3 linked regions of the Danio rerio genome follow. The main gene of each other region encodes a partner of the protein of the gene in region 3 in a complex. Links are inferred from orthologs where the notes say so. Each region holds a gene or a part of one and is shown on either strand. Other genes may lie near its edges. The genes, in order: kcnd2, kcnd3 and kcnip2.

Region 1 (10,153 bases), on a different chromosome or scaffold from region 3:
GACAGAGAATTTATACTCCTCAGTTCTGGACAAGATGTGGTCGTTCTGTGTCCCTGTGGTTGTTAAAATCCCAGGTTGTCCTTTGAAAAAGAGTAGAGGTTTAACCCTGCCATCTAGGCCAAATTTGCCCACTGGCCTCCTAGCTATCTATACTTTGTCTCTTCGCCACCAACCAGCTGATGAGTGGTGTGCAGTATGGTGCAATATGACTGCTGACACATCATCCAAGTAGATGTTGGATACTGGTGGTGGATGAAGTGACCTCCCCCAATGACCCCCCTCCACCCCATGAAATTAAATTTACTGAATAAATTCAAACATGCGCATCAAAAAAGTCATGTGATGCTGTTTTATCAGATCATGGGATGCCAAAAATTGCAGAAAGTGACAAGATATATTTGGACGGACAAAGACATCGGAATATTTTCAATTATAACATATGAGCTATTTCATAGTAACCAAAAGTAATTTATTACATTAAAAAGGCACAAAGTGGTTAATTAGGAAGTGACAATTTAGTTCTCTTTGAGGCATTAGAAGGAAATAGTGTTTTATGCGATGTTCCAGTTTTGCACAAAAGTTTAATTCGCATCTTTGGAAAATAGCTATTAAATTGATTCGTTCAGCCACTTCAGGTGTCCGCTCCTGTTGCTAGAAGGCCACAATCCAGTAATGGTTTGGCTTAAGCCTCAATTATACACACATAAACTGGATAATCAGGGTATTTAGGATCACTTTCAGACAGGTTTACTGGAACTAAACTCTGCAGAAAAGTGGCCATATTAGTCTAAAGGTGAACTTAGGTACTAAAGCTTACTTACAATAGTTAGCAAAGTGCTCGGGTACTCTTGTGAAACACTGTGAAATATATATCTCTGGAACTTCTGAGCCAGGTTTGAGAGAAAATCCACGTGGCCTGTTCTCACCATCATGATATTGCGTCAATTGGGAGATAACCGGCATATCTTACACTACCAGACAGCAAAGCTCTACTCATTCTTTAAGCAGAGTAAGAGATAAAAAAGCCACTTCATTTCAATCAAAATGAGACCGAGATGAGCAGCGGTCCTTGGTGCGTGTATGCATAAATTTGGGGTCTAAAGCTGGTTGAGGCATTCAGGTATCTAACACAGAGTTATACACGATAGAGGCTATCTTTACGGATAATTAAAAATTCTCAATCATTCTCACACAGGCAGATTGAAGACGCCTGAGGGGTTGCGTATAATCTGGCAAGCGTGGCTTTCCTCCTGCTTTAATGCTGGCTTTTATCTCAGTAAAACTGTGCTGATAGTCAAAATGTTCTTCAATTGCGCATAGGGAAAGGGATGTCACAGTGTTTCGTTAATGGTAATCTATACCGCCCAAAAATATACCTGTAAATCTCACCCCTAGCTCTCTGAGCCACAGATCCATCCCTGTCATTCAGTCTAGGAAACGAGGCATTAAAAAGTGATGCATACATTTAGAGAGCCTGGCCCTTGTTCAATCAGAGCAGGTAAAGTCGTTTAGAGATTCCCGGACTGACCACTCTCACAAGTGTGTGTTTAAGCAGAAATGGAAAGGGAATGAGATTTCAGACCTGACAAAGGAGTGATGGTAGAACTCGACAAGCAAAGACAACGGAAGGATGAGATCTCAAATCTAAAAGGAGAGGTTCCTCCTCACCCCACTGTCTCTTAAACTTAAACTGTGTGACAATTTGAAACTTCTCTCTAAGACGACAAAAAAAAAAAAAAAAAGAAATGTAGCCACTCAAACATGAAATAGTCTCAAGACACAGGCCGATTTCACATCCCAAGCTTTGGCAATTGCTCGTCGCAGGATGAACTTGACTTTACCAGGTCAGATCTCTGCTGTAGCGACTGCCCCCCTGCGTGCTCCTCTTGATGGGCTCACTGAGGCAATGCAATAAAATCTGAAATGAGGAACAGCATGCCTGCCTGCAGAGAGAGGAGATGAGTATATGGGCCGCATCACTGAAGCCCTGCAGCTGTGGGTCTGTTTGGAAGACATAGTTCATAACCAGCTGGCTCCGACAAGTCATCATCTCTCCCTAGCATACACGAGCACATGCAGAGCGCACCCAACATTAAGACGATGCCGAGCGGTGCACCATAATTTCATTTTCTCATTGATGTCATCCGATTTGACAGGCAAGAAACGGCAGGACACAAATTGCACACAATAAGATGTGCCAATACACTCCCTCTCTCGTTTTCTCTCGCTCCTACTGGATCTTTTTCTCGCCCCTTTCACTCTAAACCTCACATTTTCTTTACAGAACAATGTAGGGCTGACAGGAAAGTAGAAGGGAATGGGAATGATTTGAACTCTGTGAGCCATAACTCTTCAGATATCACAAGGACACGCACTACCCATTGTGCCGCAGATCTGACAGACTCATTTTCTTATTATTAAAGGTTCGCGGTGTCTAAGAGAGGAACTTCTAACATTTCTCATGTCAAACACAACATTAGTCACATTCAGTAGACCATCTTCAGACATAAAGTTACAGATGAAAAGCAGACAGGTTACCCTGAAGTACAAAATGAGTCCTAAAAATCTCCTTTAAAACTAAAGAAAGTCTACCATTGACTCTAAAGGGAAACATGCATCATATCAGCCTGTCCCAGGCATCAGATTGACACTCACAATGCACAGTAATGCACTTCAAAGGCGTGCCGATCAAAGCACGGGATGCGTATTGGAGCATGCAGCTTGATTAATCCCCTCGAGTGACTCAGGACCGTGTCGGCTCACCAGCAAGGAATCGGTTGTCTCCCAAGCAGCCATGGGGCAACCACAACATGCGGTGGACAGATTCAGCACCATGGAGAGCACCCGCTTAGCACAGGATGGAGGCTTGGAGAAGTCATGCTGAGGCGTCTAGTGATGGGATTAATGAATGAATAACACATCAATAGCAAATGCATTATTGTAATCGCCTTCAGTGCTTAACGTCACATAAATCAGCCATGTCTCTCTGTGTGTTCATTGACTTTTTGGTAATTACAACATTGTGCCAAAGGTTCTTCAAGACGGTTTGCTATATAAAAAAAAGCAAGTCTTCCAAAAAAAAAAAAAGGAAGAATCTGTACTAACTTTGACACTAGGGGAGTCTCGTTTACCATGAGTGTGTATGAATATTAGAAGTACTATTTAAAACTCAAAAAAGCAAGTTGCTAGGAACAGATACAATGGAATGTCAGAGGGAGTACAAAACTACACTACATATAAGCTACACATCCACTTCTTTAATCACGGTACACATGTCTGTATAGCACTTAAGTCTTAACGTTCATTAACATCTAACTGAAGGTTTTCTTCGTTGAAGTCAGAATTATTAGCCCCCTAATAATAGAATTTTTTTCTTCTTTTTAAAATATTTCTCAAATAATGTTTAACAGAGCAAGGAAATTTTCACAGTATGTCTGATAATATTTTTTCTTTTGGGGAAAGTCTTCTTTGTTTTATTTCAGCAAGAATAAAAGCATAAAAGAATAAACCCTTTTAGGGTCAAAATTATTAGCCCCTTTAAGCTCATTTGTTTGACTGTTTACAGAACTATTATGTTTAGAAATGTGTTGAAGAAATCTGCTCTCCGTTAAGCAAAAAATGAGGAAAAAAATAAACAGGGGAGCTAATAATTCAGGGGGGCTAATAATTCTCACTTTAACTGTATATATGTAGTCAAAACTAACATAATTTACAAAATAAGTCAAGAATAAAACATAATTTAGAATAGTATGCTTTAAAGAAAAAAAATAAATTAAAAGTAAACCCAATGAGGCAGTCACAGATAGAATGATTGGTCAGATATATAGAGAGGAGAGAGATAGAGGGAGTCTATTTCTTTGATTTATCTCACTTGTATTGATCTCCCTCTGCCCTTGATGTATTTTACCTGCAGCTCTCAACTTTTCAGGACACGTTGGTGTAAAAGGGCTGCTTTGAAGCAGGCATGACAGCAGCAGATCATGCGCACAAGCTCGTTCAGTAAGTTTGCGCAGAACAACATGGACTCACCCCAGCGTTGTCATGGTGACGATGGTGTACCAGAAAGCCGCCGGGATGCTGGTGAACTTGCTGGCAGAGGAGCCTTTCTCTGCGTAGAACATGACGGTGGCGAAGATGATGATGGCCATGGTGAGCGAGAAGAGCAGGAAGCCCAGCTCGGACGCGCAGCTCTTCAGCGTGTAGCCCAGGATGCGCAGCCCCGCGGAGTGCCGCGAAAATTTGAAAATCCGAAAGACCCTGAAGACCCTGAGGGTGACGAAGGCCCCGCTCACGTCCTCGTTGTCCGTCATGACCAGGCCGATGTAGTAAGGCATGATTGCCACCACGTCGATGATGCTCATGACGCTTTTGACGAACTTGTACCTGCTGGGTGCGGCGATCAGACGCAGCAGGTACTCGACGGTAAAGATCATGACGCAGGCCGTATCCAAACAGAAGAACGCGAGGGCGTAGCGCTCCCCGCACGAGAGCTCCTTCGCGCGGTTTAGCGAGATGCCGCACGGGACCGTCTCCACCACGTTGGCCATAACGGAGACGGCGATGAAAAAGCCCGTGACGTAATAGAAGACCAGCGCCATGGTGCTGGTGTGCGGGTTCTCGAACGCGCGCCACATGGACTCGCGGAACGACAAATCCGGCATGACCAAGTCGTTGTTGTTGTCGTTCTCCTCATCGTCTTGAATTCTCTCCGCGTTCTCCCTTCTGCGATCTTTGTATTCCTCATAACAGCAGTCACCTATTATCTCTGGAATGATGCCGAAGAAGGCCAGCTCCTCGTCATAGGCGGAGATGCACTCGTGGCGAGGGTAGTGCAGCTTCCCGGTGCGGTAGAAGTTGAGAATGTGCCTGAAGATGTCCGGGTCGCGGTCGAAAAAGTACTCGTTGGTCTCCTCGTGGAAGAAAAAGTCGCGCTCTGTGCTCCCCAGTAAGGTGTCAGGGTACCTCTCCAAAGTATTCCGCCAAGTTTGAAACCTAGTGCCGCTGACGTTCAAGATGATCAACCCGTCCTGACCACGCTTCTTGTCCCGCGGAGGCGGCGGCATCGGGGCGCTCGCCACGGGCATCCATCCTATAGCTGCGGCGCGCGCGAACGGTAGCCACGCGGCGACTCCGGCTGCCATCCTGACCCAATGTGCGCGAACCGGTGCGACTGAAGCAGATTTTGCGCTCACTGATCCGCCACGCGCAGAAAGGACATCTGGAGGGACACAATGCGCAATCAGTTGGCGTAAACTTAAGCAATACTATCACTCACGTGAACAACGAGCCGCGTTACACATCCAGATTAAAGCATTCTAACAACAAAATGAGAGAATATAATGAGAGAGAACGTAAAAATGTCTATACGCGTACAAACTGCACGTGCTGACCTATTGCTCGAGAGCGAAAGAGAAAGCTTACCTCCTCATAAATGGATTTTGATGCAAAAGTGCAGCTTTTTACACACAGTTCATCAGTTATAGTCCACTTTGTATCGCTGTTCCGTCGTTACGCGCAAATAAGTATCCAAAATGCGCTCTCGGAGGTGTTCTGGAGCAAATGCAACAAGTTTACAAGTCAGGTAGAGGATTCGCGTTGTCCAAGGACATCCTTTTAGCCAGTCACAGCTGATATGTGCTTCACACTACCGCTTATAGAGAAAACCTGCCACAGTGGTCCTTTCATAGGGAGAGAAGACCACCCTGGCGAGTGCGCGTTCGGTGTTTCAAAAAAAGCAAATGCCACTTTCCTATCCGCTTCCTTGAAATGTAATCCAGCGTCCCGTGAACAATTTGGCAGGGTCTGTCTGTAACCAGAACAAAAACTGAACCTGCAACAAATGATTTGCTGGAAGTTGCTTCATCCGCTACCGACGGAGATCTGTGAGTCTGCGGTGGAGCCCAAGTTGCTTCTGCTCACGGCGCATTGGAGGCGTGTCACGTGCTACGGGCATCGGTTAACACATATGAATGTAACACGGTCTGTGTGAATGGTGTATAATGTACCATGAGAAGTGTTACGTTTCAATGTTTATTTGAAGCATTTATTTCTGTCATGAATAGAAAAACAAACACCCCCGTATAACGCATTGTGTAAAGACATCATTAAACAGATTTATGTTTAAGCAGAGTTTAACAGGAATTCAGTGAAGCGCTGAATTGCGAGCTGAGAGACTGGGAGTGAAAGCATTGCGGATGTTTTTACGTCTCAGGTTATTGATTCACACATTCAGCACTGACAGATATAAAATGGGGGAAGCCGCTAGATGGAGACAGTTTTCAGAGGTGAATGAAGATCAGACCTGTAAGAGCAATAGATTCGAGTCATGTGAAGGTCTTTTGCTGTGACAAACACAATCAGCAAGCTCGAAAATGCGATTATCTGTGTTGCAACTCTCCATACATGGGTCAATGACAAATAAGGATGTTTGAGATGATAAGAGGAGAAATGCTGCACACGTTGCAAATCTAATCTGACTGTAATTATCCGTTATTATAGATAGATAGATAGATAGATAGATAGATAGATAGATAGATAGATAGATAGATAGATAGATAGATAGATAGATAGATAGATAGATAGATAGATCTGTCAGTGCAATAAATCATCCATATTAAAATTGACACCTACAGTACAACCACTTTTTAACGAGGGAGAGAGAGATTAGAGAGAGAAATAACATAATCTGTAAAACAAAATCGCTTCACTTAAATAAGAATTAAAAATGGAATATAATCAGTCAGAAATTATCATATATTAAAATTTTAATTCTTTGCTGAGATAAACTTGTTTTTACGTCAGAACTGTGGCTTCTAAGATAATGCCCCAGCTTCTGAAAAAATCGACTTCGCCAAAAACTGATTTGAGCGAGTGAACCAAAACAGCTGCGGCAGCTCAGAGCGCCGTGCGTGTTTGTGCGCGCGCGCCCCCGTGATGAATTTCCTGGCGCGGGGCCTCCATATTCTCAACTGCCTTCCAAATTAGTCACATAGACGTATCGCAGATTAAATGTTGCGAGAGGAAAAAGAGAGAGTCTTTGATCTCCATGGCTTGCAGGGGTTTTCTTTTCAGCACCATGGACAGCGACCAGCCGCAAATACAGGCGTGCTGCTTGTTAGCACTGCGGACAGCGACTGTCGCTCTATTGAATATTGGCAACGAGCTTCTAATGTTTACATGCACTTTCTAATATCTTTAGGATATATTTTCTGTCTTTTGATGGCATTACAGTCCTTGAAATGCAGAATTGTACTGATTATCATCAAATGTCCTTCCACTCACCTTACTGCAGTTAACCTCAATCTACTAGATGCATTTTGTTCACACTGTTTACAACGTGTTCTTTTCACACGGTTTATAATTTGTTTGTAAATCCCGCCATCCAAAACATGTGTGTGTATTTGAACCCTGTATATTTTTAACTTAATCTTCTGTTTCATACTTCTCAAATTGTGAACTTTGATGCTGAAAATAAGTAATAAAGAAAAAGAGGCCAAAATCGGATGTTGTTTTGTATATATATTTATATATGTATATTAGTTTATCATTTTATTGTATATAACACCACTGTATTATTTAATTTTATGAATCTTCAATTTAAATAATTTAAATATACATATATAAAGTTGTCCTACACTCTTTTAACATTTTATTGCATTTTGAGAGAAAAAAGAAACAAAATACTAAACAAAAGGATATTAATCTTGTAATTTCACTATCCTTTATTTCACTGTAATTTCAGGCATTGTTTGCCTTTTTTCTAAAACATTTGATCCGTTTTTACACAAATTGTAGCATAGAACGCGTTTGTTGTGCTTGTCTATTTATGTACTACAACAAAAATATGGTATTATTTTAAATATTTTATAGTACATTATAGTTTTCACTAACAAACACAAATACCATGTAAATACGACAGAAAATCAATATACAAATAAAATACGTCTTTAAAAAAATCACTATGACCTTCTGAGGTTGACAACTGACCTTTTCACTGACCATCATATCGGCTGTAAGCCAGCATTTCAAAAAACACTAACTTTTCTTTCGCTGCCTCTAAAGCACTACCATTTCCTTCAAGAAAAGCAAATCTGCTTTAGCAATGTCACGGGCAACCCACACTCACACAAAACCACACCGCGCTAAACTCCATTCATTTTCAAAGCTAACAGGATTGCCTCATTTGAGCATTCTGTACCGTGGCCACGCACTATGTTTTACACAGAATGAACCAGAATAGTAGTGTTCAGCACCATCACAGTCAATTTTCTGACTTTTGTTCAGTGCGTTTCCCTGCCTCGGGTTGTTAGAGAAATGGCGCCAAAATATGACAGGCGCCGATGTCACCATGGTTACCAGTCACATCTATTTCAGTCCCGTGAGCTAAACCTGACAGTGTTGATGCATGAAGAATGTGCATCCTGACAGCTCATTGCCTAAGCGTGATAAAACTCACACCTCAGCCGAATTTAAAGAGAACAAATTATGAAAATCAGCTTTTTCTGCACTTTCAACACAAATAGTTGACTTTACTTATGTGAAAGCATGTTGCCTTAAGCAAGGGGTTTCAAAACTTTTCAGCCCGTGACCCCCAAAATAACAATGCCAGTGACTTGTGATCACCAAAATCCTTGGTGTAAAATATAAATATACAAACATTGCACACACAACAATAGGTCTATATAAACACAAGCTTGGTGCTAACGAGGCTCTGTTTTTTTTTTTTTTTCCGAGGGTCATCTTCAAATATTTAATAATTCTGAAATATATATATACAGTTGAAGTCAGAATTATTAGCCCCCCTGAATTATTAGCTGCCCTGTTTATTCTTTTCCCCAATTTCTGTTTAACGGAGAGAAGATCAACACATTTCTAAACACAATAGTTTTAATAACTCAACTCTAATAACTGATTTATTTTATCTTTGCCATGATGACAGTAAATAATATTTTACTAGACATTTTTTAAGACACTTCTATACAGTCTAAAGTCGCATTTAAAGGCTTAACTAGGTAAATTAGATTAACTAGGCAGGTTAGGGTAATTAGCCAAGTTATTGTATAACAATGGTTTGTTCTGTAAACAGTCAAAAATTGGCTAATAATATTGACCTTAAAATGGTTCATAAAAAAATTAAACACTGCTTTTATTCTTGCCGAAATAAAACAAATAAGACTTTCTCCAGAAGAGAAAAATATTATCAGACATACTGTGAAAATTTCCTTGCTCTGTTAAACATTATTTGGGAAATATATATGTTAGTATGCATTACAGTGTACTGTAAAAAAAATTTTATTAAACGTCTTTAAAAATCATTCATTCATCTATGTATTAAATATTAAATATTTTGCATAAAAAATGAGCTGCTCAAAGTTTGCTCCCCACAAAAGTTGAATGTTATTGCTTCCACCAAAAAAGTGAACATTAGACTAGTTATAATATATTATCTGTGTGGTATCTTGAGCTGAAACTTCACAGATACATTCTTGGGACGTCAGCAAGTTTTTACCTCTTATGAAAAAAAAAAAAAAAACATAATATATCCCCTTTCAAATACCTTTCCCCATTGGAATAGCACTCTGAATCTGTGATGTACCTTTGAGTTTGAGTAAGATGCATCTCATCGGTCCACAGACGTGCCAGACCACAGCTGAATAGACACTTATAAATTGACAGAAAATGAAAAGGAACATCTTTATTCAAACTCTTTACGCTGGAGGTCAAACCACAGAGACGCTTATTAGAAATGATCTTTATCACTGGAGACTGGACCACGAGGACATCAGAAAGGCTGTTTCAGCATGCATGAGAGCTGGATATGACTTTAACTGACTGCCTGATCAGTGTGTTTGAAATTCTGCTGGGGATGATGTGAAGCTTTTCGCCATTTATTATGTTCAGCCTCTCTTTTTAGGCCAAACATTACTTTGCAGGTCATGTTATGCCTTCAGGAATGCTGCATTAAATCAGGAATAATGATTGAAAAGGCTTGATTTGGGTCTATGGGCAGGTACATAAACATAAACAGGGTGGGGGACATGTCAGGACAAAACTTCAAAGATAAATGATGAGTCCAGTGTCATTTGCACACAACTTGTGTTGTTCTCAACCAAATTTAAAAAGTGATGAATGATGAAAAAAAAAAAGATGAAAA
Region 2 (10,089 bases), on a different chromosome or scaffold from region 3:
TCTGACCACATGTACTTAGTTATATGCTATATCAATAAAGTGTTTCGTCTTTTAAAAACACTGTTGTAATACACTGAGCCACTAAGAATTGTTTAAGACATTTTTCAACAGAAGGAAAACGCAAATTACTTCCAAACACTTCAAATATAGTCTGTATTAGTAAATGTAAGACTATTTATAAAATCCAGGCATAACACTGTATGACAACAGTTCAGATGACTGTTCTATAGCATACAGTTAATTAATCTGTCAGATTCTGAAGTGCATTACGGGTCTAAAGAAAATTTTGAACGATAAACGATCTTAAATAAAACAAATACATTTATGGATATGGTATATAAGTATATTATTTCACTCACATGGGAAACAGGGGTAACTTGAATGGCTTGTGAGCACAATAAAGTGCACGCAGCATGCTGTAGTATCTGATAATTGTAGAAAATAATTTCAAAAAGCAACTGACTGTGTAACGCCACATAAAACAAAAGAAAAATATGATGTATATGCTGAGTTCAGCAGCTAATCAGCCGGAATCAGCTGAGGTGAAATGACCAGCGAGACCTAGCTGTCACTCAAGTGGCCACGCCCTTAATTATGCAGATTTAATATAACTTGTTATAAATTAAATGAATGAGTTATAAAAAAAATTCACCCCCTCACAGTTGTCTTAAAGTGTAATATTAGTAATATGAACCCAACTGTTCTTTGTACCAGGCTGCAAACACCTTTTTTTCTGCTGTAAAGTTAGTCATTTTAACAGTGGGGTCAATAGAAATTTGCTCTATATGGAGGCAGGTAAAGCGGAATTTCGATGAATTGCAGTTTCAGTTACTTCCGTATTTGCTTCACAAGAGAGAGCGGGAGGTTACGACTTGGTTTTAACGCAATCGATCATCAACCCAGTTCAAATCCAGCGTGTGATGAACTATTTTTTTTCTTTTTTCCCCATTACAAATTAGATCGAAAATACATTTATTTTATTAAAATTTTTTTTTTTTTTTTTAAATATGAAAATAATGAAAAAGTCACAAGTGGCTCAACAACCAGTTAAAGTCAGAATTATTAGCCCCCCTGAATTATTAGCTCCCCTGTTTATTTCCCCAATCTCTGTTTAATGGAGAGAAGTTTTTTTCAACACATCTCTACACATAATAGTTTTAATATCTCATTTCAAATAACTGTTTTTTTTGTTTTTGCCATGATGACAGTAAATAATATTTGACTAGATTTTTTGGAGGACACTTTTATACAGCTTAAAGAGACATTTAAAGGCTTAATTAGGTTAATTAGATTAACTAGTCAGGTTAGGGTAATTAAGTTATTGCATAACGATGGTTTGTTCTGCAGACTATCGAAAAAATATATATAGCTTAAAGGGGCTAATATTTTGACCTTAAATAGGTTTTTAAAAATTAAAAACTGCTTTTATTCTAGCCAAAATAAAACAAATAAGATATTCTCCAAAAGAAAAAATATTATCAGACATACTGTGAAAATTTCTTTGCTCTTTTAAACATCATTTGGAAAATATTAAAAATAGAAACCAATTCAAAGAGGAGCTAGTAATTCTGATTTTCCTCTTACCAAATAGTTGCCACTTATTATTACTATTATTATTATCTTTATTGTTAAATTGTCCGAAAATAACACCATCAATGAAAAGCACGTTTTCATTGCAGATTCATCAGCAGATTTTTTTCTCTTTCTTTCTTTCTTTCTTTCTTTCTTTCTTTCTTTCTCTTTCTTTCTCTCTTTTTTCAACTAAACAGAATGTTGTAGTTGTATTAATTTTTTTATCAGTGTGCTGTAAATGCTTTAAAAATAAGTTAAATCTTTGTAGACTAGAATTATATGTACTATATAATTTATTTTAAAATGCAGGCAATACAGATTTGTTTTATTTAAAAATCATTATATTATTCTTATTTTTTAATTCAACTATAGGGGTGCGGCCGGGTAAGGGGCCCTACAAGACAATGTGCCCAGAGGGCTCTAAATTCTTAATCCGGGCCTGGTCATGCTCTATTTGCAGTGGCTCTTGATTACAGGTAAATATGTTTAAAAATCTTACATCACAGATAATAACCGAGTTTGTTATCAGAAGCAATGGGGGTATCATTAGTTTTTTTACCAGTATATCAATGATCTCAAACTCGACTCCTGGAGGGCCAGCTCTGCACAGTTTCGCTCCAACCCAAATCAAACACAGATGATCCAACTAATCAAGGTGATTAGGACTACTATTGGCTATTAAGCAGGTGAGTTGAAGGTGGTTGAAGCTAAACTATGAAGAGCTGTAGCCCTCCTGGAACTGAGTTTCAGACTATTGCTGTATACGTTTTTTGACTCTCGAAGTGCAGGAGCCACTGGTTGATAATAAATAAATAAATAAATAAATAAATAAATAGATAAATAAATAAATACTTTGGTTCTTAATAAAAAAAATCCTAATTCACATGAGGCCTCTAAGTGTGCAAAAAAAAAAAAATTGCATACTACCTTTAATTGCAGTTAAATTATACAACTGCTCAATGAATTACACTTAGTTTTCATATTTTTATTTATTTTATGCCAAATTCTACAGATTTTCTGAAATGTCTCAGTATGTTTTCTGTTTGGTGAGTCAATCATGTCATTGTTAACATAATTTCTTGCATTTTTATTATTACTTACAATGTCACACAGCCTCTGGTTAAAGGTATAAACCAAGCAAACTGGGATTGATTGCTTCATATCATTCAAACGGCTCTTTCTGTCTAAGTGGGCGTTCTTGACTAAAATAAACTATCGACCCGACCTTTAGCAGTCTAGTCAAAGGTCTGGCTATATGCGAGACAACCATATATACCTTATAACACTCACATAAACAATAACATCGTTTAAATAAGTGTTTGCAAAATGATTGGCCAAATCACAAGCCTTTTAAATCCCAATGAGCCCTTCTTAAGTGTTTTTGTAATATTAGTTTTCATTATGTTTGTGAAAACCAAACCCACACACAGGCTGAAAGCATTTTAGGAATCCATTGCATCAGTGTCTTGCATCACACAAAAGATTAAAACAGATAAACATTACATGATCTATGAAAAAAAAATAATAATCTCTATGTGCGCCAGTTTAGCTTACTTCATATGCGTAAATACTTTCTGGTTTAAGCCTGACAATTTGCATTATGTATCAATGTGAGAGATGTCTTATACGACGTTTTAATGTCATGTTTAAATGAGGATGGCAACAGGGCTCGTGAATGACTTTGTAAATCAATTACCTTGTCCCCATTTCTATATTGGCTCAGGTAAGCTGCGGCACGCAGAGTGAGACCACTATAAACTAAAGGTGAAATCGGCGCGTTCTCGAACAGTGTGAGGGGCGCGAAAGCAAGCATATACTGCCTCTGTGCGTCTTGCGCTCTCTCTGCTCCACGAACACCGCTCGCTCGCGCACGCGGCACCAGAGAGCGCGAGACCTGGCAGCGGAGAGACCTCGGGGAGGGAGAAAAGGAGTGTGCTAGTGTATGGAGAGAGCGAGAGAGAGAGAGAGAGAGAGAGAGAGATTGGGAAAAGACTACACCACCTCTATCCATCAGCTGAGCATCCTGCGGGAAGTCACTTCGAGCGCGCGAGCGGTCGGTGCGGCATTTCACTCCGTCCGAGCAAAATGGATCATTAAACAGCGCAGGATGTGACTGAGGGACACATAAGCAACTAAACTCTTATTTTTTGCGCCTCCGGTCACCCTGGTTATACCACAAATATTGTATTCTTTCACGTGGGTTCTTGTTTGCCTTTCTTCATTAATGTGCGGATTTTTCGGCGAACACTTTCGAAGTGATGTCAGGAGGAAATGTGACAAATATAGCCGAATGAATGAAAAGTTAAAAGATTTTTCATGGGTAAGTAACAAAGAACACAACTGCTGAAACGAGTTTGCTGGATTTTATCTGAATGCGAATTTACCATTTTTGCAATAATAATGATTGATCGTGACTTGTTTATATTTTGCGATATGTCTTCATGCGCATCTGTGAATAAATGTGGTTAACACTTAAATACTTGGTTGTAGAAAAGAAAGAACTACAACATTGGCCGTGTGTAGTGACCAATGTTTTGTAGCGTTTTATAGCTTTGCATAAAAGCTCAACAGGTTCGCATCTGTTTCAAACTGCAGTTGCTCAAGGGCTCTTGTGTCGCGAGCACAATCGTGCCCTTTGGAGTCTCTTACTTGAACTAGGAAATCAGTTTTTTTTTTCTATCTCTCTGTTTTAAGAAAGGCATGATGTATGCTGTTTATGTTGAATGCTACACGTAAAACCAACTTAACAGTTTTGTGTTTTTTTTAACTATGCTGTTGATGCTTAGCATTTGTTTAAAACAGTACAGCTGTGCCAGAATACAGTACAATAGTGTTGGAATATACATGAATGCATAGTATGGACTGTAATTAATCTATAAGATATGGACAACGGTTTTGTTAATTTGCTTTTGCTTGTGTTTTTTTCCTTTCTTTTCCATTGCATCTGTACCCCCTACCTCTCTTTGTCTTTCATTTTTCATACTTCTTTCTACTGTACACTACGTGATTGCTTCCCTTTTACCTCTGCCTCTCTATTCTGCTGGCATCCTGTTCGCTCTTGCCGTCTTTTCACTCCCATTTCACATCTGTCTCACTCGCTCCCACTGGAACTCTCTCCTCTTCCTGTCCTCCCACATTTGCCAACCTCTCACTCTTGTCTGTGTTCCCATTTCCCTGTCTCTCTCTATGTAGATGGGGTCTAATCTAATGTCAAGCTGGTTGTGAAGGTGTTTGATCTGGTCCCCTCGACCCCATCCGGAGTCCCCATGGCTGCAGGAGTAGCAGCCTGGCTCCCCTTCGCTCGGGCGGCGGCCATAGGATGGATGCCCGTGGCCAACCTGCCTATGCCTGTTGCACCATCCAATAAGAACAAGCGACAGGATGAGCTTATTATCCTCAACGTCAGCGGGCGACGCTTCCAGACATGGCGGAACACGCTGGACCGATACCCCGATACACTCCTGGGGAGCTCAGAGAAAGAGTTTTTTTTCAACGAGGAGACAAGGGAGTATTTCTTTGACAGAGATCCAGATGTGTTCAGAAGTATTCTTAACTTCTACCGCACAGGGAAGCTGCACTACCCACGTTACGAGTGCATCTCTGCCTACGATGAGGAGCTGGCGTTTTTTGGAATCATTCCTGAGATCATCAGCGACTGCTGTTATGAAGAGTACAAGGACCGCAAGAGGGAGAACACTGAGCGTCTAATGGATGACCTTGAGGACAACAAAGACAGCAAACTCCCTAACATGACTTTCCGTGAGACCATGTGGAGGGCCTTTGAGAACCCGCACACTAGCACCATGGCACTAGTTTTCTACTACGTAACCGGATTCTTCATCGCCCTGTCCGTCATCACCAACGTGGTTGAGACGGTTCCTTGTGGTTATATGCCAAATCAGAGGGACGTCCCTTGCGGGGAACGCTACACTGAGGCGTTTTTCTGCATGGACACAGCTTGTGTTATGATCTTTACAGTGGAGTATCTGATGCGACTGTTTGCGGCGCCCAGCCGGTACCGCTTCATGAGAAGCGTGATGAGCATTATCGATGTGGTTGCCATTTTACCATATTACATCGGGCTCGTCATGACCAACAATGAGGATGTGAGCGGAGCCTTTGTCACACTACGGGTGTTCCGCGTCTTCCGGATCTTTAAATTCTCCCGCCACTCCCAGGGTCTCCGAATCCTTGGCTACACACTGAAGAGCTGCGCCTCAGAGCTTGGCTTCCTCCTCTTCTCCCTCACCATGGCCATCATTATCTTTGCCACAGTCATGTTCTATGCTGAGAAAGGCTCATCGTCCAGCAAGTTCACCAGCATCCCGGCCTCCTTCTGGTACACCATTGTAACCATGACAACACTGGGGTGAGTCATTTTGTCTTGGAATGACTTTCTCTCTGTATATTTTTACACTTTTTAACCCTGGGCGGACATCAAGCCACACCCCTGATGCATTTCAGTGGTTATGTCATGAAGGGATAGTTCACCAAACACACTCAGAAATGATGTGGAAAATGTGTACCTTTAGGGATACTCTCAGAAAAAAAAAGGAGCAAAAGCTGTCACTGCAAGCGGGGAAGTACCTTTTCAAAACAAAAAACACTAATATGTACAAATTGGGTAAAAATATCTGAAATTTTAGGGGTTAATTTGCAAAGGTCAAAACATTTGTACCTTATTTTAAGCATTTTATAGGAGTTTGTTACAGGTGCAGCACATTTGCAAGAGACATCCTTCTACCTGATTAACCCCTAAAATCTTCATAGTAGTACCTTAAGAGTATACAGTATATAACTATTTTAAGCTACTAATATGTACCTTTTATTAGTACACCCTTAGAAATAAAGGTACAAGAGTTGTCACTGTGGTACCTTTTCAAAAGGTACACATTTGTACTTGCAGGGTGCATATTGGTACCTCAGAAGTATATATTAGTACTTACAAATTTTAAGAGGAACACGCTTGTACTTTTTAGGTACCAATATTTATCTTTGAGGTATTAATATGGACCTCTTAGGTACACATTTGTACAGTTTGAAAAGGTACCACCCCAGTGACAACTCGCGTACCTTTATTTCTAAAAGTGTAGATGATGGAAAATTTGACCTTGCAATGGTATTGTCCTAGTGACAAGCTTAAGTATTCCTAAAGATACAGCTTTTCTCTCAGTTAAAATAAAACAAGTCTGTCATGACTTACCCTAATGTTTCAAAAGTGTATGATTTTGTAGCATGAAAGGTTTTTTTGAAGAATGTTTTTATTCATACAATTAACTAGTATTGAGTGGATTTGAGCTCCACTGGCTTCAAATGAATAAAAAAGCTCTTTAGAATATCTCCTGCTGTGTTACCCAGAGGAAAGTTAAGGCCCCGTCCTATTTCTGCCCATTCTCATAACCATTTGTAGGTAGATATCTAGATTCTCTTTTGGTGAGATTAGTATGGGGTAAAGGGAAGTGCCAGATAGCCCTTCAAAGATTCTTGGACCTAATATTAAAGGAAAGTGAATGGTAAATTCCCTGGAAATGTAAGTACACTTCTCGTCACTCTGTGAGAAGGAAGAGGTGTTGGAGTAGATGAAGGAGTATAACCTAGAATTCAGATTGGGCCTTAGTCAAGCAGGTTTGGAACAAAATCTTTGGGTGAACTATCCCTGTAAGTAGGCCCACTCTTAAAAATAAAGGTATAAAGACTGTACCCTACACTTTTTGCACATTTATGCACACTTTAGGTAATAAAACATCCCTTTAAGGCATGGATCTCAAACTCAATTTCTTCAGCTCTGCACAGTTTTGCTCCAACCCTAATCAAATACAGCTGATCCAAATAATCAAGGTGTTCGAGTAGTCTTGAACACCTTGATTAGTTGAATCAGCGTGTTTGATTAGGGTTGGAGCAAAACTGTGCAGAGCTGCGGTCTCCAGGAATCCAGTTTGAGACGTATGCTTTAAGGTACCAGTATTAACCGATTATGTACAAATGTGTACTTTCTAAAGGTACAAAGACAAAAACAGTTTTTTTACCTTTATTTTTGAGTGTATGTACAAGATTTAAAAAACACAAGAGCAACAGAAAAGAACACAACTGGTTACAATATTGCTTTACACTCCATCTGTGAAAGAGAGGCTGTTTCCCTGCAGCTTGTGGATTTTCCTTCTTTTCTGAGTTAACTGCTATTAGCATCTAACCCTAATGACCATGGTTGCTGACTGCACTCATGCCTGCCCGAAGCAGCGGTAGGTTTGAATTTAACTTCCTGCCCCAGGCTAGATTTTATTCATCCCTATTATGCACCAATTAATATTTAAGCATGTGTGAAGCAAACAGAGGAACATCCTTCAGCATTTTCCCCTCCACATTAACAACAGGCAAGCAGCTGCAGAGCTGTAGAGCCCCATTTAATACAACCCGCCCCTCATAAATCACAGGCCGTTTATTTGTGTGTTCATGACGGATATGTGTGGACGTTTGACACGATTGGTTTTAAGAGCAAGGGTAGAATTAATTCAAGCAATTAGTTTGAGTGATTACATGGCGGATGACTTGAGTAATCGACTTTATACTATCAGCAGCTAGGGTATATAGCTGCCGTGTCACTGTGGCTTTGAAACTGGAGCTGTAGTCAAAACAGGCTTTGGCTTGCTGGTTAGACGGTTGATGATTGGCGGAAGCACCTGACCGTGAGCCCAATGACCCCAAAACATCAAGATCAAGGACTTAAGTCAGTATCTCATGAATGTTACATTGGCAAATGCGTTGGTCCTTGGAGAATGCAGTTGTGTCAGGGGTCAAATGTAGAATTACAGTTACACATGTCTTACGTATTCATGCTTTCATTTTTTTGTGTAAACTACAGTTTGTGAATGGCTAAACCTCTTAAAGATCCTTGTGAGCACCATGTTGAACTATAAACCCTAGGTATCATGCTTGTTGTGATAATCTGCTGGCTAGTTTTACATGGATTTCAAAGTAGCCCATATCTCATTACTCATTACTACATTCACCCCAGAGATCCAGTCTCCACCCGCATCTGAGACTTGACCTGAGATCGAGGGCGAGAGAGACTCTTCTCATCAATAAAACACAGCTTAGAAGTGTGTGTCACTGTGACTAATGTTCTCAGGTACATGTGCTGAACAATGTAAACCACTATGACATTTCCAACCTCGCTGACGTCATGTAGTCTCACTGTCTGTGCGTGGGGGTGCTTCCCATTCAGTTGGAACCAGGGTTCGCTTTCACGTCCCAGCAGTTTTTTACAGTTGATTGTACCAGGTTTGTATCACTTTGCAATACACCTGTTGATTCTGAGGCCTCCTATCTGTGCTCCTGACCAATGCAATGGTGTGCTTTACATGCCTGGTGCTTCTCTTATTCAATGATTCGTTCATGCTGAAGTGCGAGATACTGGGGTCTCCACCTCAATCTGTCAGAGTAAAACGCAGCACTGCAGTTCAGTTTTGGTGAGACTGAGACATTCTCTTTACATGTAACACACAGACCTGCTGCCTCATGAACACACGCCTGATACTCTGCATGTTAGCTAGGGGAACTACAGCAACAGTTCATCAAAAAAAATCATGCTATATTGTGTCTGAATGGTTAACTAGTCTTCTCAGTACTGTCGTCTGTCTGAAGTGTTTTCTTCCTTCCTGGGAATTGTTTACACCAGTAACATTTAATTTAGCTGCTCTACTGTTGAATTTCATGGCTCTGTGTTTTGTCTTGGCAAGACAGCACACTAAGAGCTGAAAATAAAGCAAAAGAAAGAGCAAAGAAATGTATTGCTTGGACAATGTGCTGTCTTAGTTTTAGAGAGTTTGAGTTTTTCGGGTAAAGTCAATTTTGTGGTACTTTAGTATGAGGAACGCATTTACTATTAACTACAAATTCTCCTAATAAACATCTTATTCACTAAATATTAATTGGAAGGTAGCTGTTGTAGCACTGTAAAATATTAATTAACAGCTGCATATATGTTGACATTTTAACTCCACAATTAATAGTCACTTTAATTTACTGTTTTTTTTTTTTTTGTTTTTGTTTTTTAAGTTTGGGGTTAGTAGGATTTTTAAATGTTTTAAATTAAGCTTATCCTGCTCACCAAGACTGCATTTATTTCAGCAAAAATACAGTACAAATTGTAAAATTGTAAATGTTATTGCGCTATAAAATAACTGTTCAAAAGTAGTTTATAATTTCATTTCATCATTTAATCCAGTGATTTTAATAACACATTTTCAGCTTGATTACTGCAGTCTCTTCAGAGCCACATAATCCTTTAGAAATCACTCTAATATTAATTGTTATTATTATTATTATTATTATTATTATTATTATTATTAAGGGTAATTTTTATAAAAGCAACAATGACTGGAGTAATAATTTATTTTGAAACTTTATACAATAAGAAAGCAGTTATTTAAAATCTTTATAAATATTTAACAATCTTTTTTTTTCTGTTGAACCCAAACGAATATATTTTAAAGATTGTTGGAAATATAAAACCATTGA
Region 3 (9,478 bases):
ATTATTAAAGTTCAGAGATATCACTTATTTATCTCAGGAGTTTCCCTAAATGAAAAGGTGAAAGTAAACATTAACATGAATATCTTAATAAAGGAATAAACACATTAAGGGTGTTTGTTTGCTGAAATTCGTATTAAAATTTGTTTATTTATATTGTGCAGAGTATACGTTATTTCTAATGTTTTTATGCAAAGTATATATTTTGAAGAGGGGGGAAAACAACAAATCGTTGTATGAATGCTGTAATATTTAAATAATTTCCATTTAAAACACGTGAAGGTCATGTGACCATCAGGAAGAACACAGCATCCCATTTCTCAAAGGACACGTTCTCTGCCCTCGCGGTCTCCTGAGTTCGTTCCATGGACACCTGGCAATACCGGTCTCCACAAGAATGCAAGTCCGTTGTCTACGTTCTTGGAAGTGAGAAACAGCCACTGTATAGAACGTACTTTTCTAACGGCCAAGTAGTACGTTTAAATTCAAATGCAGTACCTACTAAGTAGTAGGCGGTTTCGGAGGCAGCTGAAGTCCACCGCTTGAGAGCAGTTCAGAGAACACAGACCTGTGAATTTTGGTTCCGACCACAGTTTTTCCCAAGGGCTTGATTATTGGGGTCGCCAGATTTTCAAGTAATTACAATGTTTTCTTACAGGAATGTGCAGAAATTCGCGTGAGATTCCTTTTTTAAGATCTTAAAAAAGGAATCTCACGCGACAGTACAAAACAGTATTTCTGCTTCAGGATATTTCAGCCATATGGACACAGTGGATAATTAAGTGGAGCAAAGCCACACCACATGCAGCTCAATCTTCCATTGTTAAATGCGCAACATTTTCACGCTAGCCAGCATGTTTTATGCAGGAATGTAGCTGATCTGATTTGCTGCAACGGCCCCTTTAAATACGAGATCAATGTAGCGAATTTTGACGCTCTCGCTGCCGGAGCTGAAGGCAGACAGCGTTGTCACCAGGGCGGCCAGAGCGACCTTGGACACTTTCACCGCATTCGGTGCATTGGCATTACACTGCAGCTAATAGCATTAGTGTTGGCGTAAACACCTTTACCTCTTTAGTGATGCAGCCGTCTTTATTGAGATCGTACAAACTGAAGGCCCAGGATAGTCTGTCGGTGACTGTGCCGCGCAAAATGATCGACAGGCCCACCACAAAGTCCTAAGGCCAAACAGAAATGAGAGACTGGTGAGTCTGTGATGTAAACATATTCATTAAATGACGCTTATGATTTTGAATTCAAATATAGGAAACTACATTAAAGAGCCTTCATTATACATGCAAAAGGGTCCTATTTTGGTTTTAAGGGTCTCCAACAACCGGCTGAAAAGGCCCGTGCACACAGAGAAGCTTTTTGCTCGTGTTTTCCAAAGACCGCCTAACGCCTTGTGACTAAATAAAGGGCGCCAATGTGATCATGCACAACAATGCGCAAAACAGCAGGTGTAGAAACGTCATTTTTAAAGAAACGCCTCATGCTCTTTTTTTTGTTTTGATGCGCCACGTCAAAACCTTCTCCGCCAATAAGATTGGCACTTTTGTTCACGTGCACGGAGCTGCTAAAGTAAACAGCACTAGGAGGCGCTCAAGCACAAAACTGTCAATGTGAGCGCACATTGAAGAGGATGCCCAGAGGTGATATGAACGTGAAGCTGCTTATTGCTCTTGTGAACAATAATCAATTCTTCATCGATACAGCTGGAGCTGGTGCTTGAACCATCCATGCGTGTTCGAGTCACCAGTAACTTTAACAACAAGCGTGTGAACTTCCCTTCATCCTCTTCTTCTGTGTTATAAGCGGGCTGTCAGAAGCTTAAAGTTGTTTAGCGCCATTTAACATCAAGGAGTGATTTTTGCATACTCTTTTGCTCGACGCCAGTTAAAAATTGATTGGGTTTGAATCCAGAAAAACGTCTCATAAAACACTAACGATAAACGCAAAGGAAAGTCGTCCCAGTGTGTACAAGCCTATATGCTTGCAAGGTCAAAAAACACTTTCATTGTCTTATAATCTGCATTTATTTTTACCTAATTATCCCAGCGACTCCCATATGATTTGTTAAGTGCTTCATTTGTTCCCAAACCCCTCCTTAGCGCAAAGCTAATCTCCCGTATTTCAGACCCATCTCCCGCCACCCTCCCATTTTGTTATTTATCGGGTCCTCAGCATTTTGGTGTGTTCTGTGAAACCCCTTGAAAACCAACTTTGGTATAGGATCCGATTGCAACGGCTGCCCGAAAAACGCTTTATAGTAATCAAACCAAACCAAATCAGGCCTTTATTTGTCACATACACTTTAGTAGAGTGAAATTGAACCTATGAAGCATATGTTTATACACTCTCAGAAAAAAAAAGGTAGGCGTCCTTTCTAATACCTCAAGGGTACATATTAGTACCTCAAAAGTACAAAAGTGTTCCTCTTAAACATTTTAGGTACCAATATAAACCCAAATTTATCTTTTAGCACACAAAATAAGAATTTCTTAGCCACAATTTTGACAAAAGTGTCAAACAGGGAAATACAGCTGTATAGGTGCACTTTTTAATTCAACAAAACTTTCCTTTAAAAAAAGAATTATTGTCATGTATCTAAAATATGCACAGTAATCTGTCCTAGCTAAAAGTCCCGGATCAGCGGTTACCTACACATAAACGGAGAGTAATCTCCCTTTAAAGCAATGTAATTGTAAAAATATGATTAAACCATATTAACAAATATAATAATATATTATTATTTTAATATAGGCCTATAGGTTTATATAGGCCTGTTTATCTGTTCAAAGAATAATTCAAATGAAAGCAGTGACCGCTGCTGCTTACAAAAGAATATGTGTTTTATTTTTTACATTTTGAGCTCTTGAAAGCAGCAGGATTGTGGGTGCATGATCATCGCTCTTTGTCCAGTATTTACCTACTTTTTTGCTGTTTTTCTCGGCGAACAGTTATTTTTGTCAGTCCTGCTGCTTCTCGATTCTAAGATCACATTTGCAAGAATATTGGGCCATGCTTATTGTCCAACTCAAGCTCATTCTGAAAACGTAGCACCGCGGACATTTCTGGAGACGTATGGCTGCATATTGTTTTTTCAAGCGAACGCTACGGGGCGGTGTGACGCCGCTCCTCTTCGCGCTCGCCTGCTGACGGCTCACCTCCACCATTTGGAGGGCTTTCCCGCTGCAACCAGTTTGTCCGGTTAGCTCGTCGTGTTAATTGTCCGGAGGAGGAGCCGGCCGCAGAGATGACCGGGTTCGAGTCCAGGGAAGAGCGGTTCCAGAAATCAGGTAAGACAAAAAACAGAATTTAAAAAATAAAAGCAAACGAGTTTGTAACAGGGTGAGAATGTGGTGAATTCCGAAAACGTGGTCAAAATCGGACAAGGGCTTTTCTTTTTCTGGATGGCTTTTGTAAATCGTCCCTTGGGTTTAAGGAAAGAGAAGGAGGAGGGTGGCTGGGTCGGCCAATGGGCCGGCCGCCCAGTCAATCATTCAGTTAGTCGGTCAATCGGACAGACGGTCGCTCGACAGCGGCCTCTAGCAACTTTTTACGTGAGAACAGAGCGGGCGCAAACAGCGCGTTCGCGAGAGGCGTTCGAGATGCGAAAAAGCGCGCACATCGGCCTCTCACGGCTTCCTGAAAACAAAAACTGCAAAAATACCATTTGTACCATACCATACCTCCCGAGATGTATTTCGCGATCTCCAGAAACGTTCATGGGGCTACGTTTCCAGAATAAGCCTGGGTTGTTATTGTCGAACCCTGCTTTTAACAAAACTACAATTTAAAAACTATTTCCAACCAGCCAAAGTGGCGAGCGGAGGTCTCTGTTTAACCCGCCACAGCTCAAATCTACTTGCATTTGGCGGGTTAATGGGTGTTAATGTAAGGCTCTGCATGTCAGCATTGCCTTTTGAGGTTCAAGTATTTATTAAATGAGGAAAAGATTCACGCAGCTTCTCCTACCGCAGCAAATTCCCCTTTTTTGTTGATATTTGGCTCCAGTTAATCAGTGACAATTCTGTTCTCTTTGGATGGAAACAGTGCTTTATTGGCAAATTTGTTTGCGATGTTTCAGTTTTGAGCATAAATTTAATTCGCACCCTTGGATAGAAACACAGCTAGTGAATAAAAATCAAACTGACCTCAAAATTCACTGCTCCATTTTTGCGTCTGTCGAAAGCCTCGAACAGGAAATGTGCATATGCACTAGAATCTTCAAAAGAAGAAAACAGCATGAAACTTAGACTAAGAAATCATTTGAAATCATCATTTAAAGGGAACTAAATAACAAATCTGATTATCTTCAAGCTCTGTGCACTCACCTCCATGAGGGAAAAAGTGAGAGTAGATTAGTTGAAAGGTTTCTTCATTGACTACTCCAGTGGGACAATCCTAGAGCACAACAAAACAAAACACTGTTAAAAGATGCACTGAAAACATATTTACAATGTGTTTAGTAACAATAACCTGATTTAAGAGAAGTATTTAACGGGACAGAGCCCTTTTTTTTGTACACATGAAGAAGAAAATGTTTGCAAACAATTTAACTAATTTGTACATACAGTATGATGGAAAACGCATGACCTGAACAATAAAAAGCATTGACAAGACCCCATAAACCTCACCAATGGGACATGAACTGTTCATACAAAAACATACAAATAAATTAACGTGAATTTATCAAAACGTTGCAACAAAATAACCAAATCATTGTCGAAAAGAACCATGTTAACATCCACAGCAACTGGCAATAGCGATAACTATATTAGCATCCACAACAACAGACGATAACTATAATGATACCTATATTAGTATCCACGAAAACAGACGATTACTATGACAATAACTATTTTAGCATCCACACCGACAGACGATAACTATAATGAAAACTATAGTAGTATCCACAACAACAGACGATTACTACAATAATAACTGTATTAGCATCTACAACAACAGACGATAATTATAATGATAACTAAATTAGCATCTACAACAAAAAACAATGATTATAACAATAACTATATTAGCATCTATGCCAACAGAAGATAACTGTAACGATAACTATATTAGCATTTACAACAACAGATGATAACTATGACTGTAACAATATTAGCATCCACACCAACAGACGATTACTGTAATGATAACTATATTAGCGTCCAAACCAACAGATGATAACTACAGCTATTACAATATTAGCATCCACAACAACAGATGATAACTACAACGATAACTATATTAGCATCTACAACAACAGACGATAACTGTAGCGATAACTATATTAGCATCCACACCAACAGACGATAACTATAACAATAACTATATTAGCATCCACACCAACAGAAGATAACTATAACTATAGTAGTATCTACAACAACAGATGCTAACTATAACAATAACTAAATTAGCATACACAACAACAGACGATAACTGTAGCGATAACTACATTAGCATCCACACCAAGAGACGATAACTATAACTATATTAGCATCTACAACAACAGATGATAACTATAACGATAACTAAATTAGCATCTACAACAACAGATGATAACTATAACAATAACTATATTAGCATCTACAACAACAAATGATAACTATAACGATAACAATATTAGCATTCACACCAACAGACGATAACTATAACTATATTAGCATCTACAACTATAGATGATAACTATAACAATAACTAAATTAGCATCTACAACAACAGATGATAACTATAACGATGACAATATTAGCATTCACACCAACAGACGATAACTATAACGATAACTATACTAGCATCTACAACAACAAATGATAACTATAACGATAACTAAATTAGCATCTACAACAACAGATGATAACTATAATGATAACTATATTATCATCCACACCAACAGACAATAAATATAGCAATAACTATATTAGCACTCACAACAACAAATGATAACTATAACGATAACTATATTAGCATCAACACCAACACACAATAACTACATTAGCGTCCACAGCATCACTAATGACATTTTTAATTGTATTTTTGTCGACTGTTGAAGTTCCCTAAAATTTGTAGATTCTTATCGGCTGTCAATGTTTTCATTGTTCATCAACAAAACATTGTAAACGTGATTCTACACATTGTTGAATCTTTTTAGCCCAATCTGGCTTAATTAGCTTCTTACATTTTTGAAACTTCTGTACAGGATTTGTAGCTCGGTTTTGGTGAACTTGGTCAGCTCCATCAGTTTATCCAGACTGTCCGGCCTGTAGCACACAGTAGCAAGCTCAAAATCCTCCTCTATACTGTCTATAAGAGAGATGAAAAGATACAAGTAATCATACAGACCTTTAAAAACAGCAGTGAATTCATTTAACACAAGAACCACCCCATATACGGTTGAAAGTAAAATGATTCACTCTCCAGCGAAATTTTAAGTCTTTCAAATATTTCCCAAAGTCATGTTCAACAAAGGAGTATGTTTTTTTTAAGTCTCACTTTCTTTAGTTTGGCTGAAACTAAATAAAAAATTAACTTGAAGTGTGTTTAGACTGGTGACACGGTGGCTCAGTGGTTAGCACTGTTGCCTCACAGCAACAAGGTCGCTGGTTCGAGTCCAGGCTGGGTCAGTTTGTGTTTCTGTGTTGGCACGTTCTCCCTGTGTTGGTGTGGGATTCCTCCGGGTGCTCCGGTTTCACAGTCCAAACCAAGCGGCAACCTCCCGCTCTCCCTCAGGAAGCCAATACGGAAGTAACTAAAACTGCAATTCATCCGAAATTCCGCTAGTCCTGGCCGCTCCTGGCTCCAAAACAGAGCAAATTTCAATTGAGCCCACTGTTAGAATGGCCAACTTTACAGCAGAAAAAGGTGTTTACAGCCTGGTACAAAAAAAGATTTTGGTTAAAACAGCTAATATTACCCTTCATGACAACTGTGAGGGGGGTGAATTATTTTATAACTCATCCGTTTCCTTTATATTGAGTTATATTAAGTTTGCCTAATTAAGGGCGTGGCCACTTGAGTGACAGCTAGGTCTCGTTGGTCGCCGTCACGTCACCCCAGCTGAATCCTGCAGATTAGCCACTGAACTCGGCATATTTATCGTATTTCTGTGATGTTTTATGTGGCTTTACACAGTCAATTGCCTTTTGAACTTGTTTCCTACAATTATTAGATGTCATGGCATGCTGAGTGCACTTAATTGTGCTCACAAACCATTCACGTGGCCTCCGTTCCCCATGTGAGTAAAGTTATATACTTATATACCATCTCTATACATGTATTTATTTTATTTAAGATCATTTATCGTTTATATTTATATTTAGAGCTGTAATGCACTGCAGAATCTGTCAGATTGATTAGCTGTAGGCTCTAGAACAGTCATCTGAAGCGTTGTCATTCAGTGTTATGCTGGATTTCATCAATAGTCTTACATTAACTAACACAGACTATATCTGAAGTGTTTGGTAGTAATTCGCGTTTTCCCCCTGTAGAAAAACGTCATAAGAACAATGTTTAGTGGCTCAATGTAGTACTACAGTATTTTTAAAAGACTAAACACTTTATTGATATAGTGTACAACCAAGAAAAAGTGGTCAGAATACAAACGAGTCGCAGGTGATAAAGTATTAAGCGTTCTCCCAAAGTTAAGTGTGTCTGAACCAGGTCCAAGCTAAATGCCAGCAGGTGTCTGTAGCTCCGCTCACTCTCCCTTGTTATGCCCTTGTTTGGTATCCCGCTGTGGGTGTGATGACGCAGTAACAAAATGGCGACGGTTGGCCGCGCCTACTTGTGGCTTCTTTTGCGCTCTTTAGAAACCTATGGGTGACGTCACGGACACTACGTCCATATATTTTACAGTCTATGGTCCAAACGCATGCACTATAGGGGAATTGAATAAACTAAAATGCCCGTAGTGTATTTGTGTGAATGAGTGTTTGGATGTTTCCCAATACTGGGTTGTAGCTGGAAGGGCATCCGCTGCGTAAGACATATGCTGGATAAGTTGGTGATTTATTCCGCTGTGGCGACCCCTGATGAATCCTTACCAAATGTTTATTAAAAATGCCCTAAATGTTTAGTTTACAATACCTATAGGTTTGTTTTACCAGTTGTTTTGTATTTTAGAACTTAATAATTAATGTTTATGAGTTTCCTTAAACATATGCTTTTAAATAACGGTACATGTTTTAATATGGAAATGATTCATAAAATCACATTGAATATTAAATATTTGTATATTGCCGACAGGGAAAACCCCCAATCATAGATATATGTCTATATGTGTATATCTCTGGTTCTGGATGGCCATTCCTCCACTGCACCTTGGTCCCACATTCATTTCAAAGGAGTGCTACCCTGTACTAAAATGGCAGCCCTATGGACACATTCCTTCAAATAGACAACAATAGCATTGGCGACATCTAGTGTAAACATCTATGGTTTGGAACCATATCTATGTCACAGTAAATGGTGACAGAATTTTCATTTTTAGGTGAACAATCCCTTTAAAAGTAGATAAGTGTAATCGTGCAGGAAGAAGAGCGACAGACAGACAGACGGGGACTTGCTTTGTCTGACCGCAGGAGTGGAGTCCACATGACAGCAGGGCAGGAGTTTGAGAAAGCGCTGTTTCATGTTCTTCTTCCTCTGGCCGGAGGGAGGATTACCTGCGCACATCACAAAGAACATCAGGAAACTGCTTAGCCATGCAAAAGGGACTTCGTAAATCATTTAAATTGTATTACAAGGGCACAAAACGACTCGCCAAATGGTGGTCGGTCACAGTCGGTTGGCACAGTTTGCTGCTCTGGATTGGATTCAAGAAATGAACGGGATCATCGAGTTTAAAGAGCGGACTCAAATAAATGCATGAATATTTTTTGTGTGTGTGTTGAAAAGAGAGATCACGTTAGCAAAACATGCTTAAAAAAAAGTGCAGACAATGGAGTGTTGTTCAGAAGCTAAACCAAGCAGCTTTATATTGGTAAACAGCAGGTTTATGTGCTGACAGCCGAACAAACGTAATGTCAAGCTGAAATTCTGGAGGAAAAAAAAGGTCAAACTTTAAATATAAACTTAGAATTATGAGGAAAACAGTGAGAAAACCAGCCCCAGCTCATTCTGAAAACGTAGTCCCGTGGACATTTCTGGAGACCGCGAAATACGTCCCGGGAGGTACGTATGGCTGCATTTAAATTTTTTTTAAGCGAACGCTACGGGGCGGTATGACGCTGTTCCCTTTCGCGCTTACCGGCTGACCGCTTACCTCCGTGTGGAGGACTTTACCGCTGCAACCAGTTTGTCCAGTCAGGTCATCGTGTACGTTGGGAGACTTCAGATGCAGAGAAGAGGAGTTGACCATGGCGACCAGGTTCGAGTCCGGGGAAGAGCGGTTCCAGATATTACGTAAGACAAAAACAGAATCCAAAAAATAAAGTGAACGAGTTCATAACAGGGTGAGAACGTGGTGAAATCCGAAAAA

Evidence for each region.
Region 1: the proteins of kcnip2 (region 3) and kcnd2 are in contact, whole or in part, in a cryo-EM structure (PDB 7UKH), measured with the Homo sapiens proteins. The link is inferred for Danio rerio from reciprocal best matches to the Homo sapiens genes KCNIP2 and KCND2. Residues at the interface, in NP_775283.1 of Homo sapiens: Arg112, Gly113, Phe114, Asn116, Glu117, Cys118, Val123, Phe128, Ile131, Tyr132, Gln134, Phe135, Phe136, Tyr144, Leu148, Phe152, Phe165, Leu169, Ile172, Leu173, Arg180, Trp183, Ala184, Leu187, Tyr188, Met201, Met205, Ile208, Met211, His228; in NP_036413.1 of Homo sapiens: Val5, Ala7, Trp8, Leu9, Pro10, Phe11, Ala12, Arg13, Ala14, Ala15, Ile17, Gly18, Trp19, Met20, Pro21, Val22, Ala23, Ser24, Gly25, Pro26, Met27, Pro28, Ala29, Pro30, Trp55, Asp57, Arg61, Arg100.
Region 2: the proteins of kcnip2 (region 3) and kcnd3 are in contact, whole or in part, in a cryo-EM structure (PDB 7W6S), measured with the Homo sapiens proteins. The link is inferred for Danio rerio from reciprocal best matches to the Homo sapiens genes KCNIP2 and KCND3. Residues at the interface, in NP_775283.1 of Homo sapiens: Arg112, Gly113, Phe114, Asn116, Glu117, Cys118, Val123, Phe128, Ile131, Tyr132, Gln134, Phe135, Phe136, Tyr144, Leu148, Phe152, Phe165, Leu169, Ile172, Leu173, Arg180, Trp183, Ala184, Leu187, Tyr188, Met201, Met205, Ile208, Met211, His228; in NP_001365898.1 of Homo sapiens: Val5, Ala7, Trp8, Leu9, Phe11, Ala12, Arg13, Ala14, Ala15, Ala16, Ile17, Gly18, Trp19, Met20, Pro21, Val22, Ala23, Asn24, Cys25, Pro26, Met27, Pro28, Leu29, Ala30, Pro31, Asp33, Trp54, Arg60.

The regions. Positions count from the first base shown.
Region 1 is NC_133179.1:10,928,462-10,938,614, reverse strand, and holds the start of kcnd2 (A-type voltage-gated potassium channel KCND2), read right to left. Parts: upstream 5,142-10,153; coding exon 4,030-5,141; intron 1-4,029. UniProt on the Homo sapiens protein: Voltage-gated potassium channel that mediates transmembrane potassium transport in excitable membranes, primarily in the brain. Mediates the major part of the dendritic A-type current I(SA) in brain neurons.
Region 2 is NC_133183.1:30,000,802-30,010,890, forward strand, and holds the start of kcnd3 (A-type voltage-gated potassium channel KCND3), read left to right. Parts: upstream 1-3,607; 5' UTR 3,608-3,892; intron 3,893-4,764; 5' UTR 4,765-4,838; coding exon 4,839-5,941; intron 5,942-10,089. UniProt on the Homo sapiens protein: Pore-forming (alpha) subunit of voltage-gated A-type potassium channels that mediates transmembrane potassium transport in excitable membranes, in brain and heart. In cardiomyocytes, may generate the transient outward potassium current I(To).
Region 3 is NC_133197.1:36,998,051-37,007,528, forward strand, and holds part of kcnip2 (A-type potassium channel modulatory protein KCNIP2), read right to left. Parts: intron 8,664-9,478; coding exon 8,565-8,663; intron 6,304-8,564; coding exon 6,179-6,303; intron 4,405-6,178; coding exon 4,335-4,404; intron 4,226-4,334; coding exon 4,155-4,225; intron 1,176-4,154; coding exon 1,068-1,175; intron 1-1,067. UniProt on the Homo sapiens protein: Regulatory subunit of Kv4/D (Shal)-type voltage-gated rapidly inactivating A-type potassium channels. Modulates channel density, inactivation kinetics and rate of recovery from inactivation in a calcium-dependent and isoform-specific manner.